Oryza sativa Japonica Group: one gene and its partners. The protein of the gene in region 1 binds, or shares a complex with, the protein of each later gene. Links are inferred from orthologs where the notes say so. Each region holds a gene or a part of one and is shown in the gene's direction. Other genes may lie near its edges.

What was found.
Region 2: large ribosomal subunit protein uL4c (region 1) and uncharacterized protein share a complex: the UniProt entries of both Arabidopsis thaliana proteins name them as parts of the 50S ribosomal subunit. The link is inferred for Oryza sativa Japonica Group from reciprocal best matches to the Arabidopsis thaliana genes RPL4 and emb2184.
Region 3: large ribosomal subunit protein uL4c (region 1) and large ribosomal subunit protein bL34c share a complex: the UniProt entries of both Arabidopsis thaliana proteins name them as parts of the 50S ribosomal subunit. The link is inferred for Oryza sativa Japonica Group from reciprocal best matches to the Arabidopsis thaliana genes RPL4 and AT1G29070.

What each region holds. Positions count from the first base shown.
Region 1 is NC_089037.1:8,801,655-8,806,966, forward strand, and holds large ribosomal subunit protein uL4c, read left to right. Parts: upstream 1-2,142; 5' UTR 2,143-2,210; coding exon 2,211-3,144; intron 3,145-4,304; coding exon 4,305-4,342; 3' UTR 4,343-4,559; downstream 4,560-5,312. Other genes in the region: peroxisomal nicotinamide adenine dinucleotide carrier, read left to right, coding at 1-45, 126-233, 545-613, 705-759, 938-1,140. UniProt on the Arabidopsis thaliana protein: This protein binds directly and specifically to 23S rRNA. May play a role in plastid transcriptional regulation.
Region 2 is NC_089035.1:25,928,460-25,933,018, reverse strand, and holds uncharacterized protein, read left to right. Parts: upstream 1-2,162; 5' UTR 2,163-2,246; coding exon 2,247-2,336; intron 2,337-2,444; coding exon 2,445-2,762; 3' UTR 2,763-3,023; downstream 3,024-4,559. UniProt on the Arabidopsis thaliana protein: Binds the 23S rRNA.
Region 3 is NC_089035.1:34,739,019-34,744,263, reverse strand, and holds large ribosomal subunit protein bL34c, read left to right. Parts: upstream 1-1,761; 5' UTR 1,762-1,785; coding exon 1,786-2,029; intron 2,030-3,142; exon of another isoform or gene 3,143-3,143; coding exon 3,144-3,403; 3' UTR 3,404-3,576; downstream 3,577-5,245. Other genes in the region: uncharacterized protein, read right to left, coding at 164-1,528. UniProt on the Arabidopsis thaliana protein: This protein binds directly to 23S ribosomal RNA.

The sequences.
Region 1 (5,312 bases):
GGATTTTTGGGCTTCTGGAAAGGTGTAGTTCCAGCTCTTATTATGGTAAGTCTTATGTCGCATTTTCTTTTGCTAAGTTATTTCTTTTTTACAAGTTATTGTTTCCATGTTTCATCTGTCATCAGGTTAGCAACCCTGCAATCCAATTCATGTTGTACGAGACTCTTTTGAAGAAGTTGAAAAAGAGACGTGCCTCTAATTTGAAGGGAGCTGATGGACTGACTGCTCTTGAAGTAAGCTTTTGGCTTTTGGCTTTTCTGGTGACTGGGATCATTGTACAGATTTATTAGGATATAACCAATTTGCATCATGCTAACTTGCTGCATTGGGGCCTGAATCTACCCGTAACGCTGACTTGAAAGTTTGTTCTTCTAGTAACGATGTTTCATGTCCAGTAATTATATGTTGCATGTCTTAACTTCATTTACCATGATGATTTGCTGAAAACACTAGTATTTCTTATATGCTCCTAATACTACTATTTCTTTGTTAGTTAGCTATGTTATAGACCGTCTTCATCTCACGCTGTAAAATCCTTGTTCAGATTTTCCTTCTTGGTGCTGTTGCCAAACTGGGTGCGACTGTTGTTACATATCCTCTTCTAGTTGTGAAGGTGATTATTTGAACACCAGTTACAGCAGCAGCCGTTTCTGTGCACAATTGAGCAGACATGTCAAGTTAAACCATGTTTTTTTTTTCTACAGGCAAGACTTCAGGTGAAGCAAATAATTGATGATGACAAGAGGCACCGCTACAAAGGTACATCGCTGGCCTTTATTCTTTAAACTTCATTTTATTATTTAGAGTGAATTATTATTTAATGAGTGATGTTGCTCCATATCCTGTTTCTGATAGTCTTTACTTCTCTTCTGGTAATAATATTTGCTGTTCTCTGACTTTGTTACCAAATACGCTATGCAAATTTTATTGCTTGCAGGCACATTTGATGCGATCACAAAGATGATACGTTATGAAGGTTTGTCAGGGCTTTATAAAGGAATGAGCACAAAAATCGTACAAAGTGTTTTTGCTTCTGCTCTCCTTTTTATGATTAAGGAGGAACTGGTGAAGGGCGCTCGATTATTGGTAACCGGCAACACCAGCCTTGTTAAGAAGTTACCATCGAAGCCATTAAGATGATCTAGGTTGTACAAGAGTTAGTTCCCTACTTATACCACAATTGTTTCCATAAAGCGATGGACAGAGTTGCCAAGCGCCCCTGTTAGGAGATATCAAGTTATCTGTGAGACTCTGATCGACTGTAGGCTCTCCAAAAAAAGGAGATTAAAGATGTAGTACAATTACCACTGTGATTCTTGTAGGAACCAATAATGATGGTATATATTGGGTAGGCTATCTCTGTTGCTCGTGTAAAGTATACTGTTATGGAAGATTGAAACACTAGAAAATAAGTTGGCAATGAGAATCGCAAGCGCTAGTCATCTGTTCAGATTACTTGAGTTTCTTTAGCTTGTTTGTTAGAGCTAACCGAGAAGAGGATCGCAATCGTGAAAACTTCGCAAGTGTTCAGAACAAAAGTAGAAGTAGAAAATTTGGAGTTCCTGTCCATTTTTAGCATAACTGTGTCTATGGTGCGCCCCATCTGTCAATGTGGTTCTCAGGCAACTGTTCTGATACACAAGTGCTAATGAGCAATCTGACCCGACAAAAAGGAAATGAAATTTAATTTGATTATTTCAAACTCATTTTGGTGAAACTAAGCCTCCTTCTTTACTAAGATGCAAATTCTTCCTAACACATTTTTTAAACTGCTAAATGGTATGTTTCATATGAATTTTTTACATAAAAATATTTTAAAATATCAAATAAATCAATTTCAAGTTTAAAATAATCAAAACTTAATTAAACATAAGCTAATGGGCCGTTTTCATTTTGCTTTCCTATTTTATTTCATCTTTATTAGAAAAAAAACACCATCTAATAGACTAATACTGCCTCGAGGGTTTTTCTTTAACAATATCTAAGTTTTTTTAATGAAGAGATGCTTCTTCTAAAATCCAAACACATAGTAGTGTGTGTATCTTACTGGTCTGGCGCGACCGACTAAGCTGACACTCGCGAGAGTGTGGCCGGTCCGGTCGGGTGGGGGTGGATAAGGAGATAGAGAAGCGGCCGCTCCGCAGCTGCAGCGGCAAAGCCTCCCCGTCGTCCAGCCCACGCAGCGCACCGCAGCGAGCGAAGCCGCCGCAATGGCCGCCTCCTCCGTGGCCTCGACTCTCCTCCTCTCGCTCTCCTCTTCCTCCTCGCCCTTCCTCTCCCCCACCTCGGTCTCCTTCCTCCCATCCGCCGCCGCCGCCGCCTCCTCCTCCCCGCGCGTCGCCGTCGCCGCCGGCAAGCAGAAGGCGGCTATCTCCGTCCTCCGCGCCCTTCGCGCCGAGGCGGCCACCCTCCCGGTTCTCTCCTTCACCGGGGAGAAGGTCGGGGAGGTCGCCCTCGACCTCAAGTCGGCGCCGCCCTCCACCGCGCGCGCCGTCGTGCACCGCGCCATCATCACCGACCGCCAGAACAAGCGCCGCGGCACGGCCTCCACGCTCACCCGCGGCGAGGTCAGGGGAGGCGGCAGGAAGCCCTACCAGCAGAAGAAGACGGGGAAGGCGCGGCGCGGGTCGATGCGCACGCCGCTCCGCCCCGGCGGCGGCGTCATATTCGGGCCCAAGCCCCGCGACTGGTCCATCAAGATCAACCGCAAGGAGAAGCGCCTCGCCATCTCCACCGCGCTCGCCAGTGCCGCCGTGGCCGACGATGCATTCGTCGTGGAGGAGTTCGACGAGGAGTTCGCCGCGGGTCCCAAGACCAGGGACTTCGTGGCCGCGCTTCAGCGGTGGGGGCTCGACCCCAAGGAGAAGGCCATGTTCTTCGCCACGGATTTTGCAGACAATGTGCGGCTCAGCGGAAGGAACATTGGCTCCCTCAAGATGCTAACCCCCAGGACTCTCAACCTATACGACATCCTCGATGCCCGCAAGCTCTTCTTCACCCCGGCCGCCATTAACTATCTCAACTCCAGGTATGGTGCCACCGTTTTTGATGAATATGAGGATGATACCAATGGCGAGGATGATGGTGAGGAGGAAGCAGAGGAGTTGCAAGAAGGAGAAGGGAGCGCAGAGGAGGCTGCTCAAGGTACATAGCTATGCATGAACAATTTCCAGGTGTCTTTTTATTGTTTCTATGGTGGGCATGTGCGAAATGACTTTGAGTAACTAATGCTATCCAGTGATCCTTTATTTTACATGTTTTAGTTGATAGTTAGGAGAGAAAATGCTCTGCTTTAATGGCATGTACAGTAGTTTTTTTTTTTATCTTTTAACTCTTAGCTATGCTCTGTTGTAAATATCATGATCGATGCTATACGTATGCTGATAAAGATCCTGACATGCGTTTTAAGGGTAAAAACAAGATAACGTGGCAAAGAAACAGAAAATGTAGCCAGTTTTGTCTTATGAATACCATCTTAATTATTATGGAGAAATTCTTTGTGGCCTTGTAGACTTATGGAGCTAATTTTTTTTTCGAAATAGTTCTCTTATCCTTACCAGCATGCAAAAGGAAAAATGCTTACCATGCTAATGTACATCGTATGGTTTTTTTTCCTCCTGAAAGATCCAATAAGTCCATGACATAATTCAATGGTCTATTTTAGAAGCATGCTTAGAGATCCACCTACCCCTATGCTAGCTCTCAGTAGACCCACTGAGTCTGTATTTTACTCGTTATTTTGCACCTCCTTAGGGTTTTTATTCAGAGCTCATGAGCAACTCAACAATTTGCGAATAGAAAATGACTTCACCTAATGGTGGTTAAATTTTCGGCTGAAGGTGGATTAAGTCCTAAGCACTAAACTAAAAAATAAGAAGAAATGAGACTGCATGGAATCCATGAACACCACTGAACCAGAACTCTGGGGATACTGGTACACTCCTTATAATAGTGTCACAATCTGCTGTGCCACACAGCTACCCCTATCACCTATCACTTGAAACATTGTCAGCCATTGGCACTGTCATCATTCACTTCAAAGATGTTCTGTTAGACCTTAGAACCATCTTAATAAAGTAGTTAGCTGTGAATATGCTGGTTTAAGTTGCTTTAGAGGTAAAACCTAGTTAAACACATGTTTTCTCCATCACTCAAGCACTTCCTTTTCGTAAATACTATGCATAGCTACAGGACTAAGTTATTATTAATTGACATTCAGTTCTCTGTTACATTTTGGTGCTGCATATTATAACTTTCTCTTATTTTGAGCATTTCTCAGGAACTTCTTTTTGTATGACTTTCAGATGAGGCTGCAGAGACTGAGGCTGATAGCAATTCCTAGGGAAGGAGGTGTAGATCGCGTGTTTTTCGTTTGTTGGTCTGGTAATTGCTTCCCTGATGCAGAAGCTTTTTGGCTTACTTTTGTTGTAAGTTTATAATGTTTTTTTTTCACTGATGCAGTATATTAGATCTTCAAACTGCACATATATTTTCAAATACAATGTCGTGTCAACCACTGCATATTTTTCTTCCAATTTTATACAGAAAGTGCTTCCCAATCTTGCTTCAAAAAACCAGTGTTGACCTGCTGGTTACCACTAATTTTCTACTCCCTCCGTTTCATATTATAAATCATTTTGACTTTTTTTTCCTAGTCAAACTTATTTAATTTTGACCAAAATGATAGAAAAAATAATAACATTTTTAACACAAAACAAACATGTTATCAAAAATATATTCAAAGTTACATTTAATAAAACTAGTTTGGTATTATAAATGTTACCATTTTTTTTCTATATACTTAGTCAAACGTACAGAAGTTTGACTCCGAAAAAAGTCAAAACGACTTATAATATAAAATGGAGAGAGTAACATCTTGAGTAGGGGTATGATTACAAAATCTTGTCTCCTTAAATTGTTGAATTGTTCCTTGTTATGACTAACTTTTTCGCTGGGTGAGCTCTAACAAGTAACAACTAACAAGTCTTTTCAGAGGACTTGCTGCATTTTACAATGTGGAAAGTAGCCTAGCTCAACTTGGACATGGAGCACTGGAGCAGCATAGCCCGGGTTAGATGCTGATCTTGAAACTCTAAGCCCAGATCAGTCGTAAACAACAGACCATTTTGCTCAGGTTTACTTGTAGATCACCTGAGGGTTTAGTGAACCAACCCTCTGCTTATGCCTAACCATAATGATTCCATCATTTTTCTTTCTTACCTGGGTCATGCAAGAAGAGTTGTTGGGCCATCCTTAAGTCCACCCAGACAACTTTGGACCAGATCATCACCTTTCTAATTGTTCTGACATTG
Region 2 (4,559 bases), on another chromosome or scaffold:
CGTCCATGAACCACGAAACCAGATACAACACATTCCCCAACTTATAAAACCAGTGTGAACTAGGTCCCTCGGTTTAACTTCGGGTTTATCCAACATGACAGCTGACTTAGTGTGGGACCCAAATGAGCCCCACATGTCAGCCTCTTCTTCCCCTCCCTTGTCTTCTCTCTATCTTGAATATGGCATGTTTAGGCGTACACGGTGGTCCTCTCATGCCACTGACAGTAGGCCCATCTAAGTTATCGAAGAGACCGCTTTCACCTCGAAAAATGCTAACACAAATATTTTTACAGTTTAATTTCATGCCATTGTAAATTTGCTAATTTAAAAAAAATATCACTACTATTTGCAATATCAGCAAGGGCGGATCCAAGGTGGGTGCAGGGAGGACTCGAGTCCCCCCTACACCCACAAGACCCATGGATACCCCCCGGAGCACCCCCTTCAATTTTTTCACCATGAATGATAAACTAAAGGTTCCTAAATGGTTGGAAATTGAAGAAACAGTGTAATTGAGCCCCTCCAATATTTTGTTCCTGGATCCGCCCCTGGATATCGGGTATATGCCATTGGAATTTTACAAAATTTGAGCTATGCCACTCCATCACAATTTTTGTCACCCTCTCCTTCGACGATGGCGGCGGGCTCAGCGCACAGCGTGGAGTCATCGCATGCGACGGTAGGGAAGAAGAGGTGGTGCGGGTCTCCGTCCCCAACCTTGCCTCCATGGCTCCACCATAGTGTCGTCGGCCACAGCTTATGGGGGCATTATCAGCAAGGAAGACAATGGGGGAGAAGAAGAGGTGGCGGGTCTCCATCCCAATATAACTGTAGATTCATTGGCCGCGGCACGTGGGGCTCCACCGGCAAGGAAGATGACGGTTCTAGACGCCGCTCCCCTCCAGTGCGGGGATTAGGCTTAGCGCTCCCCTCCATCTTTCACCGGCGGCGTGGGGTCTGTGACCGCCACTCCCCTCCAACGCATGGGTTGGGCTCGGCGCTTCCCTCCACCTTCCACCAGCGATGCAGGGTTCATGACCGTCACTCCCCTCCAGCTCCACCTCCCTTCATTGGGTATTAAGCTTGCAATCGTCACCGGATTGGCAACGCCCTCATCGAAGAAGCTCTCTCCGTGCAGTCGTCGACGAGCCTGAGAACCGCCAGATTTTCGCCTGAGTTGAAGAAGAAACTGATCTGCGTTGTGCGGTGTTGAGCTAACAGAGGTATTGACAGTTGTTGTAACGGAGTGGCATAGCTCAAATTTTGCAAAATTTCAGTGGCATGAACCTGATATCGTGAATAGTAATGGCAAATTGGTAAACTTGCAATAACATGATCCAATTAACCCATATCTTTGGGGAGGCTAATGCGCACGTACGTGCTAGCAATTTAGCTGGCGCCCGCGTCAGTTGGCCCCCTCCCCTGTTCCCGCGTGCTTTTCTTTCTCACTTTTTTTTTACGATTTTGGCGCCTGGATCCGGGTGCGTTTTTCTTTTTTTTCGCCATTTCTTTCTATTTTTTTAATCTTTCGCACACCCCTTTACAAATGTAGAGTTGAAAGTTTTAAATTTTGACTTCAAAGTTTTTAAATTTGACTTGAAAGTTTTCAAATCTGAGTTGAAAGTTTTAAATTTGAGTTGAATTTTTTCAATTTGAGATGAAAAGTTGAAAGTTTTCAAAATTTGACTTTAAAAAAAATTCAAATTTCGAGTTGAAAGTTTTCAAATATGGGTTGAAAGTTTTCAGAATTTGACTTGATGTATAAATTTCTTTTCAATCTGTTACTTTAAAAAATTTTCGGAAAAAACAAATCTTATCTTGATTATCTAAAACTAATGTATTTTTTTACACGCTAAAACTAATGGACTAGTTACTACATGCGCTATGGAAAGAATCTAACCGCGCCCGTGCGGTGCCGTGCATACGCGTGGGCCAGAAGTGCGCGCCCGCGGCGCGTATGCGAGAATTAGGAATTCTGCATATTTTTACCACGTAAACGAAATAATTGCATACATTTTTTTTTCTGGGCCAGTAAGTAACCAACGTGTATCAGCCCAAACCAAACAACAATTAAGAAAGCCCAGCCAAAGCGAGGCAGGCGAGCGGCCACCCGCACGGCACCAAAGCCTCAAAAATTGAGAATCATCAACGCTTGAGAGGATAACACACACCAGAAACCGATAAGGGACACGAAACAGGGGAATCCGGAGCAAAGTGCGACGCGAGCGCGCGAGGAAGCAGCAGCCATGGCGCTCTCCCTCTCCACCTCCTTCCTCCCGACCCAAGCCGCCGCGGCGGCCACGAGGACCACCCTCCGCTCCCTCGTCCCCTCCCAGGTACGATTCCTTCGATGCCCCCACAACCGCGTAGGCGTAGCGCCGCCGAATCGGAGATTCGGAGGAGGTGATTGGAACTGGGCGGTGGTGTGACGATTTGCCGTGCAGAGGATGCGGTGCTCGATGCGGAAGAAGGGGCTGCACCCGGAGATCTACGAGGACGCGAAGGTGTACTGCAACGGGGAGCTGGTGCTGGTGACGGGGGGAACCAAGCCGGAGTACACGGTGGACGTGTGGTCGGGGAACCACCCCTACTACGTCGGCGACACGTCGGCGATGGTCGTCATGGACAGCCAGATCGAGAAGTTCCGCAAGAAGTGGGGCCACATCAAGGAGTACTGGCCCGAGGACCAGTGGAGGGAGATGCACCCCGACGGCGACCCGGAGTTCGACCCGGAGGAGGAGGGATCCGCCGGCGCCAGCTGAGCCCCCGCTTCGCCTCTCGCCTCCGCCGCCGGCCTCGCCGGTGCGGTTTCTCTTGGTTGATTTTGGGAATTGCGTAAAATGGATTAGCTCCTCTTGCTTGCGCCTCTCGTTACACGTGCATTCGCATTGCTCTCTAGGTGTTCGATCGGTGTTCTCAGTGGATACGTGTGATCATATTTGTGGTATCGAACTGTTTGTTCTCTGCCTGTACTCTTTGACATCGATATAAAATGGAGATATTGCAATTTGCACACTCTGTAATTGGACATTTCCAACTCGTTGAATCGATGCATGCTAGTGTTGGTCTGGGCTCTCGAATAGAATCGTTGCATACATCAGTTTGTCCGGTCTTCAGAATAAGCAGTAAGGGGCTGTTAGTTCACGTACTAACATTGCTAAGGTTTACCATGTTTTCTCGCTAAAGTTGAGGCCATCAAAATCCAAGCCACGCTCTAGCCAATAAAGGCTATGTTTAGTTCCCAAAAACTTTTCGCAAAAACATCACATCGAATCTTTGGACACATATACGAAGCATTAAATATAGATAAAAAAAATTAATTACACAGTTTACATGTAAATCGCGAGACGAATCTTTTGAGTCTAATTAGTCTATGATTAGCCATAAGTGCTACGGTAACCCACATGTGCTAATGACGGCTTGATTAGGCTCAAAAGATTCGTCTCGTGGTTTCCAGTAACCCACATGTGCTAATGATGGCTTAATTAGGCTCAAAAGATTCGTCTCGTGGTTTCTAGGCGAGTTATGAAATTAGTTTTTTTTTATTCGTGTCCGAAAACCCCTTCTAACATCTGGTCAAACGTCCGATGTGACACCCAAAAATTTTCATTTCACCAACTAAACAGGCCCAAAATAAAAGCATGCCACACTTTTTAGAGTCACTTACATGTGAAATCTAGATTATAAAAGAGGAATCTTGCCACATTTGTGGAACCCAAATAAACACTCACCTAACATGATTAAACTTGTCTAACCTCAAGTGTGGCAACTTATGGTCATCATCCAAACAGCCCCTAAGTGCCTTAAACATGTACTCTATACTTGTACAACCATACATACTAACTATAAGGAGTCCGAAAACCCCTTCTGACATCCGGTCAAACGTCCGATGTGACATCCAAAAATTTTCATTTCACCAACTAAATAGGCCCAAAATGAAACCATGCCACACTTTTTAGAGTCACTTAGATGTGGAATCTAGATTATAAAAAAGAAATCTTGCCACACTTGTGGAAGCCAAATAAACACTCACCTAACATGGTTAAACTTATCTAACCTCAAGTGTGGCAACTTATGGTCATCAACCAAATAGCCTCTAAGTGCCTTAAACATGTACTCTATACTTGTACAGCCATACATACTAACTATAAGGAGCGTTTGGATAATGGGTAAGGAAAAGAGATAAGGGGCGTTTGGATAATGGTCAAGGATAAAGGGATGGATAACTAATCCTAAACCCCCCACAATATTAGCTGTAGATGAGTTGTGACCTGTATGGATCAAATGAATTTTGAAGGTTTGGAACAAAGGAAATAACATCTTAAATTCTGAAGGAAAGGTGAGATATTTGAATTCCTTAGTTTCTCACTTTATCATATACAGGCGAGGTGGTATATGATAATTGATATCCCTTTCCCACCCTCTCAAACCCATTATTAACCAAATAGGTCAAGGCTTTCTCTTGCATTGGTACATTTTTGGATTTTGTAACACCAAACCAGCAGGGCTTACACCTCTACCACGTTTTTTTTAAAAAAAAAATAGAAAGAGAAAGAAAA
Region 3 (5,245 bases), on another chromosome or scaffold:
CAGTGGGTTGCATGTGCTACATTGAACATCAACAAAAAAAAAAATCTCCTAAGCAATGTTTGACTGAATCATCTAGTGATGTAGAGAGAAAATATCAGATAAGAGTAGAAGATTCCCTTGGATACATACCATGTTCTTCGACACCTTAATCTCAGAGAGTAGATCAGACGAGCACTTCGACCTTCTTCTTCCCCTTGAGGAAGACCTCCCTGTCAACAAGCTCACGCATGTATCCATCAAACTCCACAGGAACTCCACCATTGAGCCTCTTCATCTCCAGAAACCACTTGCTATCTCTCGCCCAGAGTTCCTCAAACGCATCTAGGTAATGCACACTGCTGTACTTTGCCTTCAGCGCATCCAACAAGACCACGTTGATGCCCTCTCCCGCAACATACACCTGCCTTCCTCCTCCATTGAGTCTCTCCTCAATCCTTCTTCTGAGGTTCCCATCATTGCCACCAACATGAACAGAGTCAAAATCTACTTGCATCCTTGATATGATACCATCAACAATGTCCATCAAGCTTGGCGCCGTGCGTATTGCTCCCTGCGGTGGACGGAGGACATGCTCAGCTTCGCCCTCGCACACATTGTACCAATAATTCCCTGGCTCCACGTCCCCAAATTTCCTAACGATCAGGGGATCCCTCGACTTGGAGAACTTGGTGGGCGCAACCCTGCTGTCCTCGATGATGCGGACTCCAAGCTGACCCTGTGCTCCCCACTTGTCCCAATCCTCCCAGAACCGCTTGTGTTCAACGATCCCGACCACGGATTGCAGGTGCTCAATGTCAATATAGAAGGCGAGGCGCTTGCCCTCCTCGGGCATGCCCCCGGCGTAGGCGGCGGCGAGACAGACGCTGAGATCGAGGACGAGGGTGCGGTTGAGGTAGCGGGCCTCGGCGATGGAGCAGAGGAGACTACGAAGATAATGCGGCATGGGCTTGCACCGGTCGCCGCCGCCAAGGTAAGAGAGGTACTTGCCCGCGGCGAACTGGGAGCGCGAGAGCGCGGGTGGGGGCGGCGGGGCGGTGGCGTTGGTCCCGCCGCGGCGGGGCTTGCGGGCGAGGGGGCCGGAGTGGTATTCCCCGATGGAGGTAACGGAGTAGGCGCAGGTGACGGGGTCGCGGGCGACGGAGAAGCGGCGGTAGTCCTTGTAGTTGGCGGAGGCGGTGGATCGGGCGCGCCAGGCCATGTCGCAGGAGGACGACGGCGGGTCGCCGGGGACGGGGCGGCCGAAGCGGTTGAAGTGGACGTCGGGGAAGGCGTCGATGGCGCGGCGCATCATGAGGTGGAAGAGCTGCGGGTCGGCGCAGTCGAGCGTGGAGGTGGTGTCGCAGCTGGCCTGATCCTGCTGCTCCAGGTGGGACGTGGTGGGCGTCAAGGCGGCGGTGGGAGGGGAGAGGGAGATGGGGAGGTTGCGGAGGGTGAGGAAGAGGAAGGCGACGAGCAAGAGGGCGGCGGCGGCGTGGGCGGAGGAGGTGATGAGGGCGCCCCGCCCCAGCAACGGCCGGCTCGGGTCCATCCGGCGACGGCGACGGCCGACGGCGATGAGATCTGGTGGCTGATTGTGTAATAAAGCCCCGTCTGCAGGCGGCGGACGGTGGTGAACTTGTTTCTAGGAAGACGACGAACTGTTCCTCTTAATGGGCCTAACATGAGTGGGCCTAAGACGAAGGCCCATGATTTGGCCCAAGAATCGCATCTCGTCGTGGATAAGACGATAAAGCAACATTGTGTGGGGATAGCCATAGCCCTGCACCGCACCTCGACTCCCCAAACATGGCGCTCGCCCTCGTCTCGCCAATGGCGGCTCTCTCACTCCACTCCGGGAGGATCTCAGCGGCGGCTATCGGCGGCGGCCTCCGCTCTCGCAGGGCATCCCCGATGGGCGCCGCCGCCACCCCGTTCCTCCGGAGCTCCTTCGTCTCCTCCTCCTCCACGTCATCCGCCTCCGCCTCCCCCGCCGCGCTCTCTGCCGCGGTCTCGGCGTCGCTGACCTTCACCTCTGCCTCCTCATTTGCTGGTGAGAATGTGTACTTTACTCGTTCCTGATTCGCTTCGTTCTGTTGCTACCATTTGGGTTGGGGAACTAGATGGAGGAGAGAGTTGCCTGCAAAGAGAAAGGGAGGAATGAACTTTTGTGCTGCTGGTTTCGGCTTTAAGTACTGTACAATGGAGTGTTTATACTGTCAGATAGGTAGCGTGTACAGTTAATCAGTGCTTAATGTCAGAAGATAACTAAACTAAACTAGCGATTTTAATGCAATTGATATATTTGAAAGTTCTGATGGTATTCTGGCAATTTCCTGAGAAATCTTAAATTCAAACTCTGCCGTACTTGTTAGCTGCTGTACGCAGCTTGTTATAATCTGCAATGTCTGATCCTAAAGCCCACGCATTCTTATAGTTAACCATGTGCTAGAGAATTTTGCTTAAGATGTGGATTCCGATTAAGATTAAAAAAAATCACTTGTTTACACATCCAGTTTTTTAGTGTAAGAACGTGTATATATATTCATAATTCAGTGATTAGTTCTAGATGGTTCCATGTTAGGAAACCTACACGGCTGAAAGTTTCTTTTCTTCCTCCATGTACTGTGATACTGATATTGTGATTTCCAGTAGTGCCAGATGGACTGTAGATTGTAGTACATTCTTGCGACAGAATCATGAAAACATCACAAAAACTCAGGAAACTCCACTTTTTGGAGCGAGCGCATGAGCTTAATTTAGTAAACTCATTATGAAATATATCATCTAACATAATTATACTACGAACTAACGAAATCACTGAATCAAGAACGTTTAACTGGACAACTCAACTTTTTAAACAGTTCAGTTACAATTAATAGCCTTGCCACCTAAAGCAAAACCAAAATGCTCCTAAAACAAGCCAATAACGTTAGATTAAAGGAACTATTGCAATGATATTATCCTTTTGGAAAATGAACTGTACTTTACATACTAGAGTTTTTTTCCAAATGATCTTAGAGAACAAAAACACAAACTAAGGGCAATCAAATAGCCGGTTTCTGTGCTGTACTGTTGTATTTAGCAAATCCATGTTCTTATGTATCAAACCATATTTGTTCCAACCTACAAATGATTTCAGTATCCTAATATGTTACATATTTCAGGTTCATCTTTGGGAATTGAATTCAGCTACAACAGAGTTACAACAGGAAGATCCCGGATTCTGCAGATTAGGGCTGGAAAGGCTGCTCTGTGCATGACCAAGAGAAATAGATCTAGGAAGTCGCTTGCCCGTACACATGGTTTTCGCAGACGGATGAGGACTACTGCCGGAAGAAAGGTCCTGAAGCGCAGACGCGCCAAAGGAAGAAGGGTTCTCTGCACAAAGACGAACTCCCCCACTGGGAAGAAACGAATGTTCTGATTGAATCGCATTCTAAGTCGCTCTTTGTCACAATTGTAAGTGTATTTTTTTATCCCACGTTCTCGGTTATACTCAACCATAACAATTGGTGCAAATCCTTCACCCGGTGTCCGGTTAATGTGTGAAGTACATTATCAACACAAATTCAAGTTAGCCTTTTTGCTTGTGCAGTATTTAGTAGTTGTTTGCTGTGGGAATATGTTCTCCTTGATCTGCATTGCCATGGTTTTCCTCTGATCTATCTTGACTGCATTCTGAGCATAGATTTTGCCAAAGGGCCTAAATGCTAACTTGAGCAGTTGCTCAAATAAACTCATCAATTTTTCTATTCTGTAGTAGAACGTCCCTTTTATTTTCTGATACAGTCCAGTGAATTTTAATATTCAGATCATCTCATCATAGTCACTCCATGCTCCACTGTGTAACACAATTTATCCACCTCCTCTGTGCCAATCTCTTTGGTACACACTTATTTGTAAAACAACCTGATTGCCCATCCAATCCTCTGTCACCTTATAATTTTGCTACTATCAGGCGAAAAAATGGATAATATCCAGAACTCAACCTGGAATAAATGAAAGGCAACAAGTAGCAAAGAGAACATTTACATTCTAACAAACTGAATCCCTCCTCTTCTTCACTCGCATCGGCAAGCCGCCTTCCATCCTCAAGGTCACCGAGAACACAAGCCCTGGCCGTCCCTCGCCGCCGACGAACCTGAAGCTGAACCTCTCGAACACGCACGCCGCGATGGACTTCATCTGTATGTATGCCATCTCCTTGCCGAGGCACATCCTCGGCCCGCCGTGGAACACCGGGTACTTGAACGGGCTCTCCGGCCGGAACACGCCGTCCTCGTCGAGCCACCGCTCCGGCCTGAACTCCTCGCAGTCCGCGCCCCATAACTCCTCCAAGCGCGCCATGGCGTACGCGCTGTAGGTGACCTGCCATCCTTTGCCGACGAACGTGCCGTCCGGCAAGACGTCGTCGTTCTGGCAGCAGTGCGAGTCCATGGCCACGGGCGGGTACAGCCGCATCGCCTCCGTGATGGCCGCGTGCAGGTAGTGCATCTCGCGCAGCTCGTCAAAGCTGAACGCCGCCGCGTCCGTGCTCCCGCTCGACGCGCGCACCGCGCGGATCTCGCGCGCGATCCTGTCCTCCACGTCCGGCTGGCCGGACACCAGCCAGAAGAACCAGGTCAGCGCCGACGACGTCGTGTCGCGCCCGGCGAGGACGAAGTTGGTGCCACGTCGCGGAGGCTCTCGTCGCTGTGCTTGCCGGTCGCGGCGAAGCGCGACAGGAAGTCGTCCTTGCGCGCCAGCCCCGCCGCGCCCCTCTCCCTCCGCTCGCGGACGATCCTGTCGGCGTAGCCATGGATCGTGGCGAGCGCCTCCCGCATCCGCCTCTCCGGCTCCAAGTCGAGCAGCCTCTTGGCGCGCCATGCCCACTCGACCGGCGACATGAACCGCGCCATGAGGATGTTCTGCGCGTCGTTGAAGGCGCGCAGGAACTCGGTCCGCGCGTTCGTCCCCATCCCCTCCTCGGTGAGGCACGCCGGGTCCTCGTCGAAGGCGACGCAGCAGACGTTGTCGAACGCGAAGCGCTCGAGCACGTCCTGCTCGTCCAGCGTCCGGCCGTCGCGCTCCGCCCGCGTGAGCAGCGGCAGCAGCCTATCGACGACCTCGGACCTGACGGTGTCGACCACGAAGTTCCTCAGCGAGCGCTTGTTGAACTCGTAGCTGGCGGCCTTCCGCTGCCACAGCCACTGGTCGCCGTCGGAGTTGAAGATGCCGTGGCCGAGGAAGTCCTCCATGACTGACACCACGTACTCCCCCTTGGAGT